5 linked regions of the Canis lupus familiaris genome follow. The protein of the gene in region 5 interacts with the protein of the main gene of each other region in a biochemical or structural test. Links are inferred from orthologs where the notes say so. Each region holds a gene or a part of one and is shown on either strand. Other genes may lie near its edges. The genes, in order: CYTH1, CYTH2, HTR2A, ARFIP2 and ARF6.

Region 1 (4,643 bases), on a different chromosome or scaffold from region 5:
GAGGTTTTTTTTCCTTAGCAAGATACCTACACATCACCATAGTCCCAAGGAGACAGGGCACACTCAAAGGGGGAGTGTGGACAGTTACTGAGAGACTGTCCACAAAGGTAAGGGCGGAGTCCGGGGAGGCTCTCAAGCCTCAGTGAAGCACCCCAGGGTGATCAGGACTGAGCGCCCTACCCACCTGCGGTCTGCGGGAGGCGGCGGCCGGCTGCAGGGGCTACCGGACAGGCCCTGGGACAGGGCCCGGATAACCCTCAGCCACCATGCAGGGAGAAGACCCCCTGACCTCATTCTCCTCGGACTCTCCAGCCTCCTGGACAGATCCAGTGGAGGCCAGCAGGCAGGGCAGCCTCCACAACAGCAGGACGGAGAGGGCCGACGGCACAGGCGGGGGGCTGCACGCCAAGGCACGAGCTCCAGGAGCCACTCGGCAGGGTAAGGACGTCTGCGACGGCCCCATCCGCTGCCTCGAGGTCTCAGCTCCTCATCATAGCTCCAAGACCCTCCTGGATGCGACCCCACTGCCCCCCCAGGCTTTTCTTACCCCTTGTGTCTAGTGTTTCCTCTTTAACCAAAATAACGTGCACACATCACATAAAAAAACAAACAGTACCTATGGCTTAAAACAGCAACCCACAGTTTCCTGCCCAACTGCAGCCCCCACGCTCGCATCCTGCTCCGTGGAGGTAGGCTCCTTCAGCTCTCTGTTCTGCTGATTACCTCCCTGCTTCCACACATCACAAGCACACTACCTGCTCCCGAGTCCTCAATTCTGGGCAGCAACTGCCTGCCATGGAAGAGGAAGACTCAGCTCTGACCCCCACCCTCCCCGCCCTGACACACGCTCCGTACAATTACACGTGAGGTTTGGGTTAAATCAGTGTTTATTACTTCCATAAACACTGCTCACAGCTTAGCTACACAACGTACTAGGATTGAAATTACCACGCAGTGGCGTGAAGTGTCTCCTTTGTGTCTGTGTGCTTAGCTCTCTGCCTTACAGATGGAAAGCCAAGCTCTCTCCACCAGGTATGACGCTGTCAACAGGAGCAACCCAGTTCTGGGTCAGCCCTCCAAAAACCTCCACACTCCTCCCGGCCCGGCCTTGCTGCTTTCACAGCAGCACCCTGGCAATTCCCTCTGCCTCTTCCAAACGCCGCCTCCCGTTTCTCTCATTCCGTGCTTCCTTCCTGGATCCCTTCTTTTGCTAGAGCATATCCTCTAAGAAGGACACGAGGGATGGGTTTCCATCACTGCTGTGGATTTTGCATGTCCAGAAATACCCCTGTCCTCCTCCCACACTCGACTGGCACTCTGGCTGGATTCAGGGCTGTAAGTTAAAATCGCTTCCTCACGATGGCGAAGGCATTCCCTCACTGCCTTCTGCTCCCACAGTGCTGTTAGTGACCGTGCCATTCCAACCCCAGAATTTTCTATGGGACCATCTTCCTGCTCTGAAGGCTTTCAGGGTCTTCACCCTTGGCGCTGTGTGGTTTTGTAACACAGTGTCCAGGTGTGGGTCCGTTTGCACACACTGTGCTAGCCCCTAGGCAGACCCCAACTCTCAAGTCTCATAATCTTTGATGATGTCCTACCCTTTTTTCTCAGCTCTCACCGTTTAGAGTTTCTGTTAGACGCTGGACCTCCACTGTGAATCCTACTTTTCATCTCCTTGTGGAACCACTTTCTAGGAAGTATTCTTGCAAGGCACTCAATGTTAGCGTTTACCCCCGATCTGCGTGCTGAAACCCTAACGTGATGGCATTTGGGAGGCAATCAAGCCGTGAGGAAGGAGCACACATGTGTGGGATTGGCGGCCGTCCAGGAAGAGGCCAGTGAGGCCAACTGGCTCTCCTTGTACCTCATACCTTGAGAGCACACAGCAGGACGACAGGCTCCTGGGGGCCAGGAAGGGAGCTGGGAGCAAGAAGCACCGATGCCGGCCCTGCTCAGACTCCCCGTCTCACACCCGCAGCACTCACACCCGAGAGAGCGCTGCAGACACCACCCAGTGTGTGGTGCTGTCACGGCCTGCCCTGGGGCAGCTCTCTACTTCATCTTCCAGTCTCTGGATTGTTTTCTTTTGGCTGTTTTTAACTCGCATGAGCCCACTCTTAATCTCCGAATGTTCCTTTTGGATAGCATCCTATTCTTGTTTTATTAATACATCACATCTAAGACTCCTAGGTATGTGGCTTTTAAAATGCCCTGCTACAATCTGTTTCCTCAAACATCTTTTCAAACGCCGGCACATTGGCGAGGACAGGCACACACTAGCAGATGTGAAGATGTGGGCTGTCCCTCCACATCTAAGGGCCAGCACCAGCAGCCTGGTGAGAAGGCGTGTGGTGGGTGCGGCCTGTGGAGCGTTGGGTCTCCCTTAAAGCAGGAAAGCGGTAACACGCGGACCGCGAGGGGCTCCGTGGGTTCTCTCTCCCATCAGCCTGAAGAGCCATCCTCCAACCTCCTTCCTGGGCTGTGTGGGCTACAAACCTGGGCAGAGCAGCCGGGCCGCCAGGTGGAGGGAGAAAGGGTGGGACGGCCACACCGAAGGACACACACCTTTGCTCACTCTCCCTGTGCCGCCATAGCGCTCTCCAGAAATCAAACCTTTGTGTTCCACCAAAAGTGGAGGAGACATTGCCTTGCTGCAGGATGTGGGGAGGGGACCTGAGAGCCTTCATGCCTGCCATGAACACCTTCCACCCTCATCCAATCCCTACCCTCACCCCTTGTCTCCACTCACAGAGGCCCACGGAGCCCTGCAGCCTTTCTGGGATGTGAGGGTAAGTGGTTTTGCTTCCTGATGGACCCCTCCTCTGCAGCTGAGATCTTTCCTGATGAGCTGCCAGGGCGAGAGTGGCATGGGGCATAGAACCATGCGAGTGTCCTAAGACTCCCAGAAGAGCAGCTGTGCGCTGGGCTGGAGGGTGACAAAGACGTCAATCCTCTGCAGAAGAAAATCCACAGGCACCTGGCAGTACTGCAAACTCTTTGGGAAGTTACTTCTGCTTGGGTTACCTGAAAAATACAGATTTGTACTGTTTTTCCTCACAAACAGGAATGGATCTTGCCAAAAAATAAAAAATAATATAACTGAAAAATTTTTAAAAGGCTGAGGACAAAGAAAATACATATGTGTTACAAAAAATTCAAATGAGGGGGTCACCCGGGTGGCTCAGCAGTTGAGCATCTGCCTTGGGCTCAGGTCATGATCCCGGGCTCCTGGGATCGAGTCCTGCATCAGGCTCCCTGCTTGGCGGAGAGCCTGCTTCTCCCTCTCCCTCTGCTTCTCCCCCTGCTTGTTTTCTCTCCTATCAAATTAATAAATAAAATCTTACAAAAAAAAAAAAAAGGAAGAAGAAGAAGACAAACTGTACGGAAAGTAGTTGGCATAGTAGTTTTAGACGCCTTTTAAAATAAAGTAAAAAATACATGATGCAGTCAATGCCGTCTGTGCTGCCCTCTGCTGGCTACACGAGGAGGCTGTTTAAAGGTTTACAATTGGCCATTTTTGCCAGTAAATTCAATTACGTTTTGAACATATATGGGGAGAAAAGAGGGAAATTCATGATCTACACAGAGTGGGCCATGCTCTGCTGATACCTGCCAATACTTCTTTCTTATTTTCTGAGATGGTTTTCTTAATACTAGAACTGGTTTGACCTTTGTCCCTACACCGGCGCATCGTGGGAACTGGCACGGGGAGGACGAGGACGGTTAAGGATGCAGCGGCTGGAAGGCGGCGTGGCGGGGTTAGGGCAGCACCATGCAAAGCATCAGAGCAGGGGTCCCCGCCGGCACCACCAAGGAGACAGAATGAGCCCCAGTGACAAGCCACCCGGCATGAAGACTGGAGGCAGGCCGGTCCTTCCGCAGCTCTGGGACACGGAGGGCACTGGCTGTCCCCTCTGCAGTCCTCGCCGTGAACGCCGGTGAGAGGATTCAGTGCCCACGGCCGCTGCTCCGGGAAGAGACTGAACTCGGGGCCCCGGGTGGCCCCTCCCCGGGCCTCCTCACCCCGAAACCTGAGACAGCCCACCCGCCCCCCGTTTTCTAGCGACCGGTCACACACACCCCACTCAGATGTCTTAATAAAGGTAGTGCTGAGTACGCTGCCTTCATCCAAAAGGCTGGAGTCCTCCCTGGGTGTTCAACTCAAGCTAACGCCTGCTGAACGTGCTGCGGGCTGGGGCCCGGAGGTGAGGACACCTGCCTCCCTGGTCACACCACGGCCCCGGGGTCCCAAGGGGCGCTAGGAGTCACACGTACGTCACCATGTGGCAAGCGGAGGACTGGAGCACGGAGGGAGCGTGGGCAGTCCAAAGAAGTGGTGTGGCCTTCCAGAAAATCCTAGTGGCGTTCTCTGGCGCTTAGGCCTGGGGAGGGCCCACCACCACCCTGGGTCTCATCTTGAAGGACGCAGACACTGACCATCGGGTGAGGAGGCGCTCTCTGGGACAGGAAGGGCACTTTCAGATGGAGGCCCTTGGATGCCTGGTGCTGCCGGGCTCTCCCCCGACCGCGAGACGACCACGTCCAGAGGCCTGCCTGCCTGCGTCTCTGCACTGGCACAATGCTGGCCCCCAGACAAACCCTCCTCCACTGAACAGATCCTCAGTCTGGGTATTTCAACTCTT
Region 2 (3,344 bases), on a different chromosome or scaffold from region 5:
TGACACAGGGTCTCCCACCCTGCCAACCCACCCCCCTCAGGATCTCTGTGCCTTTGTTCTTTGGGGAAGCCAAGCATATCCCAAGCTGGAAGGGGCTCAGGGGCCCCCCAACTCCTCAAGCCTTCGCCCTCAAGGAAAGCAGATCTTGCACTTCAGAGGCTGATTCCCCAGACAGGAGATATAATAACGCAGGTTCCCAGAGCTATCCTTGCTTGGTGTAAAGTCCCCAGAGGACCAGAGTCTGGTGGCTGAGAAACTGGCTCAACCAGACCACAGTCTTAGCCTCTTGGCCCCAAGTCCTCCACCCCCATCCCACACTCCCACCCAGCCCACTTCAAATACCAGCAACCCCTTGCCGAGCCCCAGGGACAGCTAGTCGGCAAGGCCTGCCTCCTCTTTTCCGGGCTCATCCATCCCCTGTGGTCCCACAGTAGGTCGCCCTACAGCTCGTACAGCTCTCTACTCCCCTTCCAAGCACTGGCCTCACTCATAACCCCTCAGATACTACCTGCCGCCCTCCAAGACGCAAGCCAGGTGAGAGCAGTGGGGAGCACCAGCACCTGTGCAGCTCCTGGTTGTCAAGTAAAATCCAGAACTTACAAATGCTGGGCCTCATCCCAGAACCTGTGCCCACCTGCATGCTCAATGCCACGCCATCCTAACTCCACACCCACTGATGCCACATTATACTCCTCCCTCCCTTACCCTGGCCTGCAAGCTCAGGGTAAAACCAGAAGGGACAGATATGGGAGCTGACCCGCTCCCCGCCCCCGTGGCTGCACCCTCTGACAGCATGTTCCTCACGTACCATAAGAGCTCCCAGCAAAGACTGGAGCTCCTGGCCCCTGGCATGCATGGGCCACCTGGCTGGCTAGCCCAAGCCCCTCAGCCCTGCCGACCCCAAGAAAGGAGGGGTCCAAGGCTGCGAGTGGTTAAATAATTAATAAGATTACCAACAGTGTGTTAATTACAAATAACGAGAGAGGAGCTAGAGGTGGTGAATTTTCCAAACAGAGAACCAGGATCCGCAGCCCCAGGGCCCAGGGGTCCGGCCACCCGGGTGGGGCAGCTCCGTAATAAATAATGGGGTTGGGGGCGGGGGTCAGGGCTGCTCCTGCTTCTTCTTGACAGAAATCCGTTTCTTCCTTGCCGCCAGCATCTCATAGAAGGGGTCCACACTCACAGCTGCCCTGCAGAAGGGGAGGGTCCAGGGTGAGGGCCAAGGAGCCCAGCTCCCCACGCCCTCTGCTCCCACCCAAGGACCCCGGAGCCCAGGCTCACTGGATCGACTTGATCCACTCCTCCTTCTCCTCCTGTGTCGGGGCCGAGATCCGGTACACCATGTGGTTCCCTTCAACCACCCGGCCGTCGGCCTCTGTTTTACAGGCTTTGATGAGCTGCCCCTTGTTGTTGGGGATATAAAGCTCAAAGCAATTCTGGGGAGACATGAGAACAGAGCGATGGCAGGTCAGAGCTGGCCCTGGGCCCAGAGGAGGTGCCACCATGGCAGGAAGGGGCACAGAGAGGGTCTTACCGGTTTTCGGGGGTCATCCACTTCTCGGATGCTCAGATTCTCCAGGGGGATAATTCCTCGGGGTTCCTTGTCCTGAAGGAACAAGGTGGACAAGACTCAGACTTTCCAGTCCTTGCTCAGCTCCTCCTCCCCAACCCCAGCAGTGCCTGTGGTTCAAGTCACTGGTTGTGGTACTTTGTCACAGCAGCGCTAGTGGACTGGTATAGCCCTCCTCCCTCAGACCCCAGAGCCTGACCCCCAGCCCCTCCTCCCAGCACCCCAGAGAGAAGCCCAGCTCTGCCCTCACCGTAGTGTACTCGAAATAGTAGAGGCAGTTGTCAGTGAGGATAAACCAGCGCCGCTTCCACGTCTTCACCCGGCCCCCTGAAAGGGAAGGGGTGGGAGGGGGCCTGGGCTCAACAGGGGGGACAGGGCCTCCGGGAGGCAGGGAGGGGACTGAGAGGCAGAGTGAGCGCAGGGAAGGCGGGGCTGGCAGGGCCTGGGATGAAGAAATGCGGGGGAAGAGAGACAAGCAGGGACAGGCCTTCAGGCCCCCCCCCCCCAGGATCCCGCCCACCCCCAACGTGGGGCTCCGCACTTTCTAAGCCTGCCTGTCTGCCCAGAGCCTGGGAGTCCGAGTCCCGAGTGCCCAGCCCCCTCCTATGGCCCAGGGCCATGGCAGCCCCTGGCAGCCCCTCCCGTGTCAGGTCGGTGTCAGGTCAGGTCGGCAGCGTACCTACCTCCTGGGGCAGACAGCGAGAAAGCAGGCAGGACCAGGCGAGGAGAGGGGAAGGCAGAGAATGGGGTGCCCCCCAAAGCCGCAGGCAACAGAAAGAGGGCGGGCCAGGGAAAGAAAGCACAGGGGGGTGGGAAAGAGAGAGGGCAGAGAGGAAGACGCAGGGAAGGAGAGAGGGAAGGGGAGGGGGGAAGAGAAGGAAGAAAACGAGTTACATCGACATGACCCTCTCCCTCCTGGGGAGGCTGAAGATCCTGAGCCCCCCCAACACCTCCTGGTGTCGCTGCTTGGTGCCTCCCCACCCCCGGGACAGGTCCTCAGCCGGCTGGGAAGGCCCTCCACTGCCAGAGGGAAGAGATCTCACCCCCAGAAGGTCATCCCAAAGGGAAGAGGACAAAACCCCCGGTGCTTGGCCTGAGGTGGCTGTGGGGACCCATGTGAGCTCCAGGACAAACTGGCTGTGTGACCTCAGGGCCACCTCTTGCCCTCTCTGGGCTCCAGTCTCCAGACCCACTTGCACCCATACCTTCCCACCTCAAGACGACCTGCCTCTAGGTTCCTTGTGGTCCCCAAGGGACTAGACAGTAACAGTTAAGAACGGCTTTCATTAAGCATCTTGGTGAACACAGCCCCCCCCCCTCCTTTGATCCAGTTCAACATGTGCTACACTCTGGTCAGAGATCTGGGCCCCAAGCCACCCCTGCCCTGTAGCTGCTGGACAGTGACCAAGCCTTAAAGTCCTCATCTGGGAAATGGGAAGCATTCCTGTGGGTGGGAAAGGTCTACAGGGGAATTAGCTCCTGGGAAGCTGCCCTGCCAGAGTTCCTCTTTCCCACCCTCTTGGCTAGGGGCACCTCCTGGCCTCCAGAGAAATCTGACTCTGGACTCATCTGGCCCCCACCCCTGGGGCTGATGCAGGAATCTGGCCACTCGCTGTGGGCTAGAAAGAGCAGTTTACACTTTTACCAGGACATCTATGCACCCAGTCAGGGCCCTGCTTGCTGCTGGGGAAGCCAGGTCTTGGCTCAAGAGCAAAATTCCACGGTGCAGGGAACACAGCCCTGCCTGCCCCGCCCCTCCAATCCCTGCACTGGG
Region 3 (4,595 bases), on a different chromosome or scaffold from region 5:
TCTCATTCATTTGGGGAATATAAATAATAGTGAAAGGTAATAGAGGGGAAGGGAGAAGAAATGGGTAGAAAATATCAGAAAGGGAGACAGAACATGAGAGACTCCTAACTCTGGGAAACGAACTAGGGGTGGTGGAAGGGGAGGAGGGCGGGGGGGTGGGGGTGACTGGGTGGCGGGCACTTAGGGGGATACTTGATGGGATGGGCACTGGGTGTTATTCTGTATGTTGGCAAATTGAACACCAATAAAAAAATAAATGTATTATTAAAAGAAAAAAAATAAAAATAAAATAAAAAATAAAATAAAATAAAATAAAAATAAAAATAAAATAAAAAATAAAGTAAAAGTAAAATAAAACAAAAATAAAAAATAATAAATAAATAAATAAATAAAATAAAATAAAAAATAAAATAAAGTAAAAGTAAAATAAAATAAAAAATAAAAATAAAATAAAAAATAAAATAAAGTAAAAGTAAAATAAAATAAAAATAAAATAAAAGTAAAATAAAATAAAAAATAAAATAAATGAAATAAAATAAAAAATAAAGTAAAAGTAAAATAAAATAAATAAAAATAAAATAAAATAAATAAAATAAAAAATAAAATAAAATAAAGTAAAAGTAAAAAAAATAAAGTAAAAGTAAAATAAAAATAAAATAAAAAATAAAATAAAATACGAATAAAATAAAGTAAAAAAATGAAGTAAAATGAAATAATAAAATAAAATAAAATAATAAAATAGAATAGAATAGAATAAAATAAAATGGTGCTGCTGCCCCCCCCCCCCCCCCGGAGGTTGTGATTCTGGACTGTGCAGTGGGGCAGGAGAGAGTCATTTCTAACACGTTTGCGGGTGGGGCTGCTGGCCCGGGGGTAACACTCTGGAATCAGCGGGAGCGCTTTTCCTCCGGTGCTCAGGAGGGGGGCAGAGCTGGGCCCCAAGTATTCCAAAGCTCCCCGAGGATGCCAATACGCGAAGCACCACAGGAGGCGGGTGCACGATGCATATGCTACGTGCCCTGTCGTTGATGTAGAGGGGCACCAAGGGGTCCCACAAACCCAAAGTGTTTTGGTGGCCGCGCCAGCGAGCATGCTGCACCGAGCACCTGACACAGGGCAGGTCACAGAGCGTCGCCGTTTCTTTACACAAGCCCAGGCCCACGAGGCTGGACGACCCCTGCGTTTGCAGACCCATCTCCCGAGTGCCCCCAGCTAGGCTTAGGCTTGCATCCTGCACGCTGTCCTAGCTTAAGGCCCTTCTCTCTGATTATATTTGCACACCCACCCACACGCACAAACCTGAGCTGAAACGAGAGCCTCGCCGCCCTCGGTGAGCTCGCAGCGGAGGTCGGCCCTGGGGCTCAGGTCTGCGGGAGTCGGGCTGGGGTGGGTGGGGGGCGGTCCCGGGAGGGGGCGCGGCTCCCGCTGCCACTCGCCGCTTGCCGAGCGCCCGCCGCCAGGGGGCGCCGTTGCACCCCGAGCGGGCCTCGCCGCCTCTGCTCCTCACCTGCCCCGGGGTCGCGCCCCCCCGCCCCCCGCGGCCCGGCCCCCCATCCCCCCTGCAGCGGTCTAGGTGCCCTTCCGGGGCCCCTGGGAGCCAGGCCCCACTCCCGGGCTTTGCCTTGGACGCGGCGGTGAGGTCTAGGAGGCGTGTCTGGGAACCACAGGCGAATTTGATGAAATCATTCTGGGGTGAAGGCTGAGCAGTGCAGCAGGGAGGGGGGGCTGGCCTTGCCTGGAGCGCTTTCCACCCCGTGCACCCGGCACCTGCTCCCCGTTGCCCCTCTCCTTCCCCCCTGCACCCCCCTCCTCCTCTCCGCTCGCTCGGGTGATGCATACACCTGTGTATTCTGAGCCCCCCAAGACCCAGCTCTTACAAAGCATTTCTAGCTCCGGGTGACGGCTACGGGCCTGTGTCAGCAGCCTAAATATATTTTTTCCCCTCCCTAAATGTTCTTTTTGAAAGAAATCAGGCTGTATTGCTCATAACTGGAAAAGAGCATGGCATTCTGCTCCCTGCTGAGGGGTCTGACTGTCCCCGGGCTGGTGGAGAGCGCAGGACTCATCAGTGCCTTCCTCACCGGTTTCCACCCTCCTCCCAGACACACTGCGGGGAGTTGATGGGAGATGGTTATTCTCCACGAGTTGAGGGGGTCATTCAAAGGCAAACTTCCAAATTAGCTACTGGGGGGTGAGGGGGGACAGCAGAAGCCGGAATAATTCATTCACTCTAAGGCAGAGGGTGCATATCTTAGCATTAAACCCAACTGTGTCCCACTAGTGTTCCCAGGGACCTGGGAAGGTCTTACCTACTCCTTTAGAAGTGCTGAAAACTGTGTGTGACAAAGACACAACCACAACAACAACCACCTGTTCTGTCCTGAAGGCTGGAAGATCTGGGCATACACAGAGGCGGAAAGCAAGTGGCTTCAGGATGACAGATAAATTACTGCCGGACGACTCTGTCGGGGGCACTTAAAGTGACTACGTTACAGTGTCCTTGTCCCAAAGCACAACACTCTCCGGTGATAATAGGTTGTCTGAGCTTTTCGAACGTGCAAGCTCACTTTGAGATTGGAGTAGTGTGACAGGGGAGCCCCTGGTCTATAAATAAACCCTGGTGGTCAGCTGGGCCCCTGGGCCCGGCTCATCTGCTCGGAGCATGCACATGCTGCGTGTACCCGGCGGGTACAGCTGGGAGGCTGCTGCCACTCACCATATAGGATGGTTAGCATGGACACGGGCATGACAAGGAAACCCAGCAGCATATCAGCTATGGCAAGTGACATCAGGAAATAGTTGGTGGCGTTCTGCAGCTTTTTCTCTAGGGACACTGCCATGATGACGAGTATGTTTCCAGCAATGGTCAGAATAATCACGACCGCTGTCAACAGAGCCGACCAGTTTTTTTCCTGGAGATGAAGTAGGGAGAAGCATGGTGGCGAGAGACAGCCCTCGCAGGAAAGGTTGGTTCGGTTTTCTGCATCCACTGTCCAGTTAAATGCATCCGAAGTGTTCGCGTCTCCAGCGTTCAGGTCGTTGCCGTAGAGCCTTGGGTCCCCGTTTGACGGCATTAAGGAGCTGGTGGTTGGGCTCAAAGGAGCATTATCCTCAAAGAGGACATCCATGTCTCAGCCGGAATCCGTAGCACACGAAGTCCAGAGAAAGTAACAAGTTAGAGCCTCGGCTGGCCATGCATCTCCCCGTCCCCTGTCTCTGTCACACGGAAGCGGGCGCACCTGCTGGGCTCCTGCGGTCGCCTCCTTTCTCCCATTGTCCCCCCCGGGAGCTGAACTGCAGGGACTCTTTGGATCTCCTTCCTTCACAACGTTAGTGGAGTCTTGTTGGGTCTCACTTCTTTCCTTTTTTTTTTTTTTTTTTTTCCTTCAAAGCAAGGTCAAAAAAAGCAGACTGAACTTTTTAACACAGACGTTGCAGAGTTTCGAGCGTTCAGGGAGAAAGAACGCTGGGATCCCGGCCGGAAAAGAAAAGTTTTGTGGTTCCAGGCGTCCCATGGGCTCTGCCTCGGTCTGCCGGTGACGCTGGCCCCACTGGTTGGGCCTCCGCAGTCCGGGCACGGCTGCGCTCCCGGGCGGGGGGGGGCGGGGGGCGGGGGCACCACCGGCTCCGGGACCCGCAGGTCCGGACACCCCGGGTCGCGGCAGGTGCTCGGGGCCGCCGTCCCCGCCTCGGGGCTCACCCGCCGCGGCCGCCGTCGGGAGCTGCGGCTCGCACCGTGCCCGGTGCGCAGGAGGAGAGCAGCAGTCGCGAGCAAACAGGGGCAGACAACTTCCCACGCGGGGAAATCCTCCTTGACATTGGGAACGTCTTGGCCGCGCGCCGTCTCGAGCCGGAGAGCAAGCAGGTGCGCTCGGAGATGCGACGCGGCGGGGCGCTTAGGGCCGTCCCCGGGGGCCGCACCTGAGCCCGGCTCCGCCGTCCCGCGGCTCGCGGCAGCTGCCCTGCTCCTGAGGCCGCCGCGCGGGCCCTGCTCCGCCCGCGTCACGCAGCATAATGGGGCGGTAATTGGATTTCTGTTTTGCTGACTTCAAAAACTGCAGGCGCGAGTGGAGCCGCTTGCAGCCCTGCGCGGTCTGGGCGTGCGGGCTCCCGCCCCCACCCCCGCCCCCGCCCCCGCCCGTGGGCTCGGCCCGGAGATCCCCACCTCCCCTCCCCGCCCCTGGGCTCGGCCGGGTCACCACTCACTGCCCGCCTTCCCGTGGGCTCAGCCCGTGGCCTCCCTCCCCCGCTGGGTTCAACCCAGTGACCCCCCCAGGGCTCAGACGGGCGCCCCCCTCCGCCCCCCCCAGGGCTCAGCCCGGCGCCCCCTCCACTCCCGTGGGCTCAGCCCCGTGACCCCACCCCCCGGGCTCAGTTGGGCGCCCCCTCCCCCCTCCCCCCCCCCGGGCTCAGCCGGGTGACCACTCCCCCCTCCCCCCCAGGGCTCAGCCCGGCGACCCCTCTCCGCCCCCCCCAGTGGGCTCAGCCGGGCGCCCCCTCCTCCCCTCCCGTGGGCTCAGCCCCGTGACCCCCGCCCCCCCGGGCTCAGTTGGGCGCCCCCTCCCCCCCAGGGCTTAGCCGGGTGACCACTCCCC
Region 4 (4,413 bases), on a different chromosome or scaffold from region 5:
TGTGAGGCATCTAGTGTGCCGCCTCCCCCACCCCTCCAACTTCTGAACCTCTGTACAAACCCTTAGGCTGCCTCCACAGGTGAGTGCTGCTGGGGGTAGGGCTGGGCCTACCCTGGAGGGGTTCTCCCTCTGGGCTGCAGGAGGGAGGGAGGGAGGCTGAGGGCTGACTGCCTGGGAGGGCCCGGGCCCAGTCCCCCCACCCTCTTTGGCCTGACCAAGGCACCTGAAGCTCTGGGGACTTCTGGCTGAGGTCAGCAAAGGCGTCACCTAGTGCATGCTGGGTCTGCAGCAGGCTGTAGAGGTGGGCTGTCAGTGCCCGGCCCAGCTGCAGGACACTCTCATACTTGCGCTTCGTCTCACGCAGCAACTCAATCTGCAGCTCTAGCTCCAGGTCCACAGTCCGGGAGCCTCGGCCAAATCGCTCTGATAACAGCTGCTTTGTGCACTGATTGGGAAGTGGGGGAATAGGTCAGAGACCCTAGCACCCTGCCCCCCCAACAGGTATCTACCCTAGCATCCCAAGGCTCCTCGTCTCAGACAAGGATGGGAGAGTGGAATCTGGAAGATGGGGAAAAGGTACCCAGGGGAAGTCTGGGGAAGGGGAAAGGGAAAGGTGCTTAAATCCCACCTTATATGTGTTGATGCCCCATTTCTTGACGATGTCAAACTTTTCTCCAGCGATGCCCCGAGCCACCTCATCTCCCGGGCCAGCAGGAGTGGTACTGTGAGATGGATGGCGGCCAGACCCTAAAGAACCAAGTTCTTTGACACCAGCCTCTCTGATATAACCAGACATCTCTGTGGCTCCACCCATACTTCCCACCGACCCCACTATGAAATGACTTTCCACCGACTTCCCACCATGAAAATGACTTCTCTGAAGTAGCAGAAACTAGAAATTCTCCTACTCACTAGGAAGAACTCATACCTTGTGCCCTGAAACCCAAATCCCAATATATATCTGGCCTCCTCCTGAGATGGTGATGGGGGCTGGAGTGGGGGGAGGGAGGGAGTTGCTGATGTACAGGGGCAGAGAAAACAGAAGAAAATATGCTGAGTATTGGGTGGCAGGTCAAGGATGGTGGGTTCCTGACAATAGGAAATCTCATTGACGTTCTCATGTGGAATCCTAGTCAGTGTGAAATTCAGGGCTATTTGCTTCTCTAAACTTGAGAATCTGAAGCAAAACTTTGAGAAGCTTCAGAGTTCCAAATAAGTCTCAAGCTCCAAAGCAGGAGAACTTCTGCAAAACAGTTCGTAATGTGATTCAGGTGGTGGCAGCAAAGAAAGGACAAATGGACACATCTCAGGGCTAAATGGCAAGCGGGAGCAGTTGGACAGCCCTAGGCTCTAGCCTTGGGCTGAGTAGAGTCCATTGGGCTTGTACTAGCAAGAGTTCCCAAAATCTCCAGACATAGTTCAAGCTATCTTAGGCATATCCTATACTCCCCAGAACCATTCCACTCCCTCTGTCCATTCAAGCTTCCTGTCCTGTTCTGATCATTCATACCTGTGGGGATGAGTCCATCACCAGAGCCCCCATAGCCACCAGACACAATGCTGGTTTCATTGAGGTTGGGTCCTGACACCATCACCTGCTGGAGGTCCTATAGGCCAGAGAAGAGGGGGGCTTCAGGAACATTGGGGCAGCTGAAGCATTTGGGGGGTGAGAACAAGCTTGGATTGAAGCATCACAGAGAGAGCACACAAGGGAAGTCTGCATAGAATCAGAATGAAGATATGTAAAGATTGGAGGGAGTTAGATAAGTTAGGGGAAAACTCCTGGAATGGGGTGAGAGCCCAGGGCTTATGATTTTGGACTCCTAAATTGAAACAATATGGAGAAGAATCAAACAGAAGCACCTGCTCCAGCCCATCATCCTCAGGAAGCTGCCCGGCTTCACCGTTCCCGTGGATGGGGATCTCCATTGTGGCTGCCTTCCCTAGGATCCCGTCCGTCATGGCTAGGGAAGGGATTGGAGTCAAAGTCTCCACCCCAGCGCCCTGCAAAGCCCAACACAGACAGTTCTGGAAACTAGCCAGTACTCCCGAAAGAAAAGTCTCCCCCACCATTTCAGAGATTTTAGAGGTTGTCCCAAGACTTGAGTATCCTGGGGTTCGGCCACCACTCCTTTCTTCTCGTAGATATGTATTTCTCCCCTCCAGGGTGTGTATCTTTCCACATGCACACCCAGGTCCCCAGTATCTTCTCACGGACCCCCAACCCCACCAGGACTCAGGTGATCACTCATGCGTTCAACCATTCAACAGACTACTATTTGAGGTCACAGCAGTGGCCAAGGGAGAGAAAGTCTGTGCTGTTTTGGAACTTACCCCCATGCAGCTGTTTCCTCCCATCAGATTAACCCCTTTCCAGGGCTCAGGAGCCTACTCCTCCCGCTCTGGTATGTTCTCCATTGCTTGGCCTCTCACACTCCCTTAGGGTTGCTTCCCCTTTCCTTCAGGTGGTCTCTCCCTCCTCCATCCCATGCACCCCCTCCTCCTGCAGCCCTCCCCCTGCAGGCCCTAGTTGAATCAGTTGGTGTCCGTTCTTGGCCTCTGGGAAAAGCCACATTTTCCCAGCACATAGTGATCCCTTCCAAAGTCAGTTATGTCCCCCAGGTGTGTTAGTCCCCGCCCCCCCCCCACCCCACACCTGGGCATCAGGTGTGTCCTCATCCTTCCCCAGGGCTCTGTAGCATCTTTCCCTCGGGGCAGGCTCGTGCATTCAACTTCCCCTTGCCCAAGTATGTCCTTCTCACCTCGGGCCGGGCCGCTCTTCCCCTCAGGGCGCCAGGCCCGGGCCGCGCGGGGACCTCGGGCTCCAGTTCCCGTCGCGATCCTAGCAGCAGGTCAGGGACTCGGCGGAAGTGACGTCCCCTCCCGGGCAGAAGAAGCCGGCCACGTCGCAGACTATAAGGGCGGAGATGACGTTAAAGCCAGGGGCGGGGCGATCCTTGAGGCAACCCCTCAGTCCCCGGGGAGCCAGGAGAGGTCACTTCCGGGGCGTTACCAAGAGGCTGTGCGGAAGTGACGTGCGTGCGCCGGTGGCGCGATGGAGCCGCAGCAGCAGCAGCAGCAGCAGCAGCAGCTGAGGAACGTGAGTGGGTGCTAAGTCGCGACGGGGCCATCAGTTCAGCTGGCATCTTCGTCCGTTTGGCTGGAGGGCGGAGGGTTGGGAACGTCGCGCTCTGGCGCGCCGTCCTGGGAAACCTCGAGGGCGCGGCCTCGAGGTGCCCCCTTATCGCTGGGCTCTTTGTCCCCTTCTCTCCTAGTTGCGGGACTTCCTGTTGGTCTACAATCGGATGACGGAACTCTGCTTCCAGCGCTGCGTGCCCAGCTTGCACCACCGAGCTCTGGACGCTGAAGAGGTTAGGTGGGGTTCGCCGTAGACTGTCCCCAACCTCCACCGCCCCTACCTCTGGCCCGGGCCTTTCCATGACCCTTGCCCCTGGGCCAGGGATGGGACGGACACCAGTGGACACCAATGCTTCACCCTGTCTTCCTTCCAGGAGGCCTGTCTGCACAGCTGTGCTGGGAAGCTGATCCATTCCAACCACCGCCTCATGGCCGCTTACGTGCAGCTCATGCCGGCTCTGGTACAGCGCCGCATCGCAGACTACGAGGCTGCCTCAGCTGGGCCAGGTGTTGCTGCAGAACAGCCCGGAACCTCACCATCAGGCAGCTAGGAAGGGAGGCGCTGGATGGACCCTCAAACTGAAGGAGCCAGTGGACCTTGGGCTGGATGCAGCCCATATATAGAGTGAGGGGTTGTCTGACAGCTGGGTAGTATTGCTCCTTTTCTTGGAGCCAATAAACCCACTTTTGCACTGTTTGATTTATGTTCTGGGCACGGAAGCTTTGCCCGCTTTATTGGCCCCATCCTTTATCCTGTCAGCGCATATCTGTTGGCTTCAGCCCTGGCAGTGGAGAAATTGGCTTCTATGTGTAGAAGGAAAACCTCAACATTTCCTGGCACCTGGTTAAAACAAGGCCTGTGGGTACAATTTTTTCTTTTGTAAAGAGTTTATTTATTCACGAGACACACAGAGAGCGGCAGAGACATAGGCAGAGGGAGAAGCAGAGGCTCCCTGTGGGGAGCCCGATGCCGGACTTGATCCCAGAACCCCAGGATCCTACCCTGAGCCAAAAGCAGACGCTCAATGGCTGAGCCACCCAGGTGCATCTTACTTAATTCTTTCTTTTTTTTAAAGATTTTGTTTATTTATTTATGTGAGAGAGAGAGAGAGAATGAGCAGGGGGAGGGGCAGAGAGAGAAGCAGACTCCGGGCCTAGCAGGGAGCCAGATGCGGGGCTTGATCCCAGGGCCCTGGGATTATGACTTGAGCCAAAGACAGACACTTAACCAACTGCACCCAGGCACCCCTGTGGTACGATTTTAATGTTAGTAAT
Region 5 (4,765 bases):
CTCCATTTTAGTTTTCAGACACCCTCCTGAACAAAACCCACTCCACCTTTTCCTGTATACTGCCTTTGCAGTCTACATTTCTTAAATTCCCTACGTTTAATTCCTTGAGGATCTCTAAAATTAATCCTTAAGGCTATATGAGAACCAGATGCTGCTCACAATTCTGTATCAAGCATTAACATTTGGTTCAAGGTATCATCATAGTGGTCTCGATAAGCTAGTTACGGGTCCTAACAAGCTAAGCAAGTAATCTTGCTAGGATCTGGATATCACCAGTGAGCACACTGCTTACCCTTGAAGAAAAATAAGTTTACATTCATTGTCATCTGTAGGTTCTTTCTTCATCCTACTTCCCCTTTAATTGTCATTTCTCAAGTCTACACATCATTCATTCATCACATTTCCTTCCTTAAAGGAGATAGTGTATTAATGAACCAACAGGAGATCTATTTGTATGAGTTAATCCTACAATCAAACAGAATTAAATACCTTTTTTATAAAACATCTTTTCCAGTGTTCTAATTAATGGAGATGTGGATCACTCAATTATAAAAAAACTTCTATCTTCAGCTTAATCAGTTGCTCTAATGTGAAAACAGGAATGTGTATTCTTTCAACTAGGTAGAAAATGTGTATAATTTGAATTGTTAAACGCTTTTATTAATGAACAAAGTAAACATTCTAGTAACTTTTAAAGTATTGGTCTTAGACATTTGAAATGTGGTAAAAGTATATATTCCAGTTTTGCCCCAATGTCACTGAAAATATCTACAGATATCTCATCTGTGTGTGGCCTACACCATTATTGCTCCATTTTCTGGAAAGAGTCTACTTTTAAAGTTAAAAAAGAGGGAAACACAGCAAAGTTGCTAACTTTTGCAGTGAAAAAAAATCTGTTGACGGGTTACACTTTCATCTTTTTATGCAGTGTAAGTTAGCTATGTAATAAGGAACTTGCGTTTTAGCCCTACTCATGCATGATGTATGTTTCAGAACTTAATAGCTGACATTTCAAAGAACTTCTTACATTACCTGTTTAACATACTGATGTGCAACTGGAACATATTACAATGATATTACTCATTATTTGCCACTGTAGGCTAAGTTTACTATACTGGTCTTAGATATAAAAGGTCACATTTGAAATTACTAAGTTAAAGGTAAAACTCATAAGGGAGGAGTAAAGGCCTTAAATATAAAAGACAAACGGCAGTTTGATTAAGCAATAATTTTCAGTTTACTAGATGAAACAGACTTGCAACATAGTCTGCATGAATGCAAAATAAGCCATCTACAGCAAGTGATAAGGAAACTGGGCAAAAAGGAAAAAAGCATACATTGCAAAAAAGATTCTCTCGAAATAAAAAAATCAAACCATTATTATAAAGGACTTTACCAAAAACTGCTATATTTCCCCCATCCCATTTGCTGGAAGTCAGTAAGAGCATCTAGCACTTTGTGGTCATGTCAAATGTCAGATCGGAGCATCCTAATGCAAAGCAAAAAAAAAGGGGGGGGGGGGGGAGAAAGAGAAACAAAAAAGGAAACCCCTAAACCCCCCCCCCCTCCCCAACCGTAGAACAGTAACTCCAGAGTTCAAATTCAAAAGAAGAGAAAGTGGCAATTGAAAGAGGTGATGGTGGCGATAATCCTATGAATGGGTTTCTGATTTCTCTCCTTCCGGGGGATAGGTGGAGAATGCTCATTAGGATTTGTAGTTAGAGGTTAACCATGTGAGCCCCTCATAGAGTCCATCCCCTGAGGTGGCACAGGAGGGCTGCACATACCAGTTCCTGTCCCGAATCCGGGTCAGGCCCAGTTTCTCCTGGATCTCGTGGGGTTTCATGGCATCAGGCAGGTCCTGTTTGTTGGCGAAGATGAGGATTATGGCGTCCCTCATCTCCCGGTCATTGATAATGCGGTGCAGCTCCTGGCGGGCCTCGTCGATGCGGTCGCGGTCGGCGCAGTCCACTACGAAGATCAGACCCTGGGTCCCGGTGTAGTAATGCCGCCAGAGCGGCCGGATCTTGTCCTGGCCGCCCACATCCCATACGTTGAACTTGACGTTTTTGTAAGTCACGGTCTCCACGTTGAAACCCACTGTGGGAATGGTGGTCACCGACTGGCCCAGCTTCAACTTGTACAGGATTGTTGTCTTGCCGGCCGCGTCCAGGCCCAACATGAGGATCCGCATTTCCTTGTTCCCGAAGATCTTGGATAGCACCTTCCCCATCGCGTCGGAGGAGCCGGGGCCGGGGGCATTCAGGTGTCCCGGGTCCCCTCAGCCAACTACGCCGCAGCCGCCGCGAAACCGAAACGAAGCCTCCCGGCCGCGAGGGCGCCCGTGCGGCCTGCGTGGGAGTTGCCTCCTCGGGGCAGAGGCCCAGGCTCGCCACTCACTCGGGCATCACCGACCGCACAACTTGATTCCTCCAGCCGCCGCCGCCGCCGGGGCCCTGAGTCTGCGCCGGGAGAGCCGCCGCCCTGCTGAGGCGCGGCCCGGCCCGGAACTGCCCTTCCCCCCGCAAGCGCCGCGCTAGCGCCGCCGCGGTTCCCGCTCCTCCGCCTTCTCTTCACTCGGCCGCGGGAGGTCGAAGCCCTCCGGCCCACCCGCCGGTCCACGAGCACCGGGCTCACCACCGACCCAGGCCACCCGAGAGTCAGCGCGGCTCCGGCGCCTCGTCAGGTCATTGATCCTCGCCGGGATCCGGTGCGCCGCCTGCAGAGACACAGAGAGGAAGAAGGGAGTTACTGCCGGCAGGCCAGAAGGGAGCGGAGGCCCAGGTGACTCGTCCTTCCAGCTCAGTTCGCGAGGTTACCTCAAGCCGCCGCCCTGAGCGCGGGCTCCCTCTGGCCTCCACCGCCTCCTCCCAGCTCTGCCGCTGCCGCCGCCGCCGCCGCCGGAAAAGGCGCCGAAGAAACCGCCTCACTTCCCCTCCCGATCACGCAGGCGCAGCAAGGCCGACCGTTCGGTGAGAGCGAGCTCTGTAAGGAGCGCGGCCCGCGCGCCCAGCGTCATGGGCGCCACGCGCGAGGGGGCGGGGCTACGGCGGCCTGGAGGCCTCGCGGCTGCGGTCAGGCCCCAGACCCGCGAAACTCGGACTCTGACCCGTGCCCGCCTGGCGCTGTACGCGGACTTTCTGCGTCCCTGTGGCGCGCTCTCGCCTCCCCCAGCCCTCTCGAACCAGAGCAGGCAAATCCACTGGGGAGCTCCCGAGGGCGGGGCCCGCGGCCAGCCCTCTCCCGCGGTGAAAGCCTCCCCCAGGCTGCTTCCGGACGTCGGTGCCCGCCAGGTGCTCAGCGAGTTCCCTTGGGCCCGCCCCAGCCTCCGCGCGTCCTCAGTCACCCGGGAAAGCCCTATATGCTGTTTGTACGTCTCCCAGCCCGTCCTTGGCCTCCCTCATCCCGCGTGTTCTGTGCATTTCCTGAAAGACACGTGGGAGGCCCGCGTTTGGTGTGGAGTCGGCCAAGCAGTGCGGCGCTTCTACCAGGCTTGGGTTTGCCAGGAAACCCCGCTTTTCGGTGTTCGAGCCCTGTCTTACACATCTCTTCGGGACCAGACCCTGTTACTTAAAAATGACAGTGTTAACCAGAGTTCCAGTCCCTTGCTGCGTTTTCAACTTTTTAAGGTGATAACTTTTCATACTTAAGTTAGTGTGTTGAGCAGTAACTTAACCACCTAGCTTTTCTTTAAGAATCCTAGACGAGGGGATCCCTGGGCGGCCCAGCGCTTTAGCGCCTGCCTTCAGCCCAGGGCGTGACCCTGGAGACCCGGGATCGAGTCCCGCATTGCGCTCCCTGCGTGGAGCCTGCTTCTCCCTCTGCCTGGGTCTCTGCCTCTCTCTCTCTCTCTCTCTCTCTTTCTCTCTCTCTCGAACGAACAAATAAATAAAGTATTTTTTTAAAAATCCCAGACAATAATAATCTTAGCACTAGGGTTTAGAGTCAGAAAGCCTGACTACTTTTGTGACCTGGATCTAAGGCATTTAACCTTGCTAAGTTTGTTATCTCATGTGTAAACCGAGTGTAGTGCCGACCTTGCTCTGTGTACTCCGTTTCAGAGTAAATAACAAAATGTTTGTGGAAGACTTTCGGAAACTTTTTTGTAGCAAATAGTTAGAGATCAAGTTAGACTTAAAGTAAGGCGAAGCCTAAAATAAAGGAACCAAGGGGAGGAAAAACAGGAAATAGGGTTTGTTATTTTTTAAGGAAGATGCTATAGAAGCATATGATAACATACTTGTTTCATAATATAAGAATATTTGATAATGGTAGATGGGTCAGGTGATAACCTTATAAGCTTCAGCTGAAATAAACTTACTGGAGTTGTTAATATTCTGACTGATCCAAGTTTACTTTCCATCTGCCTTGATCCATCTTACTTTCCACTGTCATAAAACTGAAGGAAGGATTTTGGAGTGAGAAGATTAGGGTTCAAAGTGTTGCCTGTCCGTTTTATGGCTGTGAATCCTTAGGCCTCAACCTTCCTAATCTTCATTTTCTTTATCTGTAAAATCAGACGAAGGATAATATCACTCATAAAAAAAATAGTCACCATTTGTTGTTTGTAATGGCAAACACTGTACTAAATATTTTAAATCTATTTTTAATCCTCACAGCAATCATATGAAGTAATTTTGAGCATTAACATTTTACATATCAATAGAGAGGTTAAGGTGTTTTTTGAGGGTCACAGAGCTGAGATTAAATCATAAATGTGCAGCTCCTCCTCTTAGCCCCCTAATGATGGTATCTCCCTGACTAC

What was found.
Region 1: the proteins of ARF6 (region 5) and CYTH1 form a complex in vitro, tested with the Homo sapiens proteins (2 studies listed by BioGRID and IntAct, with this or other methods). The link is inferred for Canis lupus familiaris from reciprocal best matches to the Homo sapiens genes ARF6 and CYTH1.
Region 2: the proteins of ARF6 (region 5) and CYTH2 form a complex in vitro, tested with the Homo sapiens proteins (3 studies listed by BioGRID and IntAct, with this or other methods). The link is inferred for Canis lupus familiaris from reciprocal best matches to the Homo sapiens genes ARF6 and CYTH2.
Region 3: the proteins of ARF6 (region 5) and HTR2A form a complex in vitro, tested with the Homo sapiens proteins (2 studies listed by BioGRID). The link is inferred for Canis lupus familiaris from reciprocal best matches to the Homo sapiens genes ARF6 and HTR2A.
Region 4: the proteins of ARF6 (region 5) and ARFIP2 form a complex in vitro, tested with the Homo sapiens proteins (2 studies listed by BioGRID). The link is inferred for Canis lupus familiaris from reciprocal best matches to the Homo sapiens genes ARF6 and ARFIP2.

What each region holds. Positions count from the first base shown.
Region 1 is NC_049230.1:3,507,471-3,512,113, reverse strand, and holds the start of CYTH1 (cytohesin-1), read right to left. Parts: upstream 3,009-4,643; 5' UTR 2,877-3,008; coding exon 2,750-2,876; intron 1-2,749. UniProt on the Homo sapiens protein: Promotes guanine-nucleotide exchange on ARF1, ARF5 and ARF6. Promotes the activation of ARF factors through replacement of GDP with GTP.
Region 2 is NC_049222.1:108,467,914-108,471,257, forward strand, and holds the end of CYTH2 (cytohesin-2), read right to left. Parts: intron 1,900-3,344; coding exon 1,821-1,899; intron 1,607-1,820; coding exon 1,535-1,606; intron 1,437-1,534; coding exon 1,282-1,436; intron 1,191-1,281; coding exon 1,103-1,190; 3' UTR 924-1,102; downstream 1-923. UniProt on the Homo sapiens protein: Acts as a guanine-nucleotide exchange factor (GEF). Promotes guanine-nucleotide exchange on ARF1, ARF3 and ARF6. Activates ARF factors through replacement of GDP with GTP.
Region 3 is NC_049243.1:4,415,541-4,420,135, reverse strand, and holds the start of HTR2A (5-hydroxytryptamine receptor 2A), read right to left. Parts: upstream 3,129-4,595; coding exon 2,717-3,128; intron 1-2,716. UniProt on the Homo sapiens protein: G-protein coupled receptor for 5-hydroxytryptamine (serotonin).
Region 4 is NC_049242.1:30,303,416-30,307,828, forward strand, and holds the start of ARFIP2 (arfaptin-2), read right to left. Parts: upstream 2,914-4,413; 5' UTR 2,763-2,913; intron 2,005-2,762; 5' UTR 1,963-2,004; coding exon 1,864-1,962; intron 1,608-1,863; coding exon 1,511-1,607; intron 748-1,510; coding exon 629-747; intron 446-628; coding exon 224-445; intron 1-223. Other genes in the region: TIMM10B (mitochondrial import inner membrane translocase subunit Tim10 B), read left to right, coding at 3,056-3,100, 3,276-3,371, 3,513-3,689. UniProt on the Homo sapiens protein: Plays a role in constitutive metalloproteinase (MMP) secretion from the trans Golgi network. May have important functions during vesicle biogenesis at certain cargo subdomains, which could be predominantly utilized by secreted MMPs, such as MMP7 and MMP2.
Region 5 is NC_049229.1:26,667,652-26,672,416, reverse strand, and holds the start of ARF6 (ADP-ribosylation factor 6), read right to left. Parts: upstream 2,982-4,765; 5' UTR 2,820-2,981; exon of another isoform or gene 2,720-2,819; 5' UTR 2,234-2,719; coding exon 1,706-2,233; 3' UTR 1-1,705. Other genes in the region: uncharacterized protein LOC119876490, read left to right, coding at 3,018-3,629. UniProt on the Homo sapiens protein: GTP-binding protein involved in protein trafficking that regulates endocytic recycling and cytoskeleton remodeling. GTP-bound form plays an important role in the transport of multiple palmitoylated proteins form the Golgi to the plasma membrane.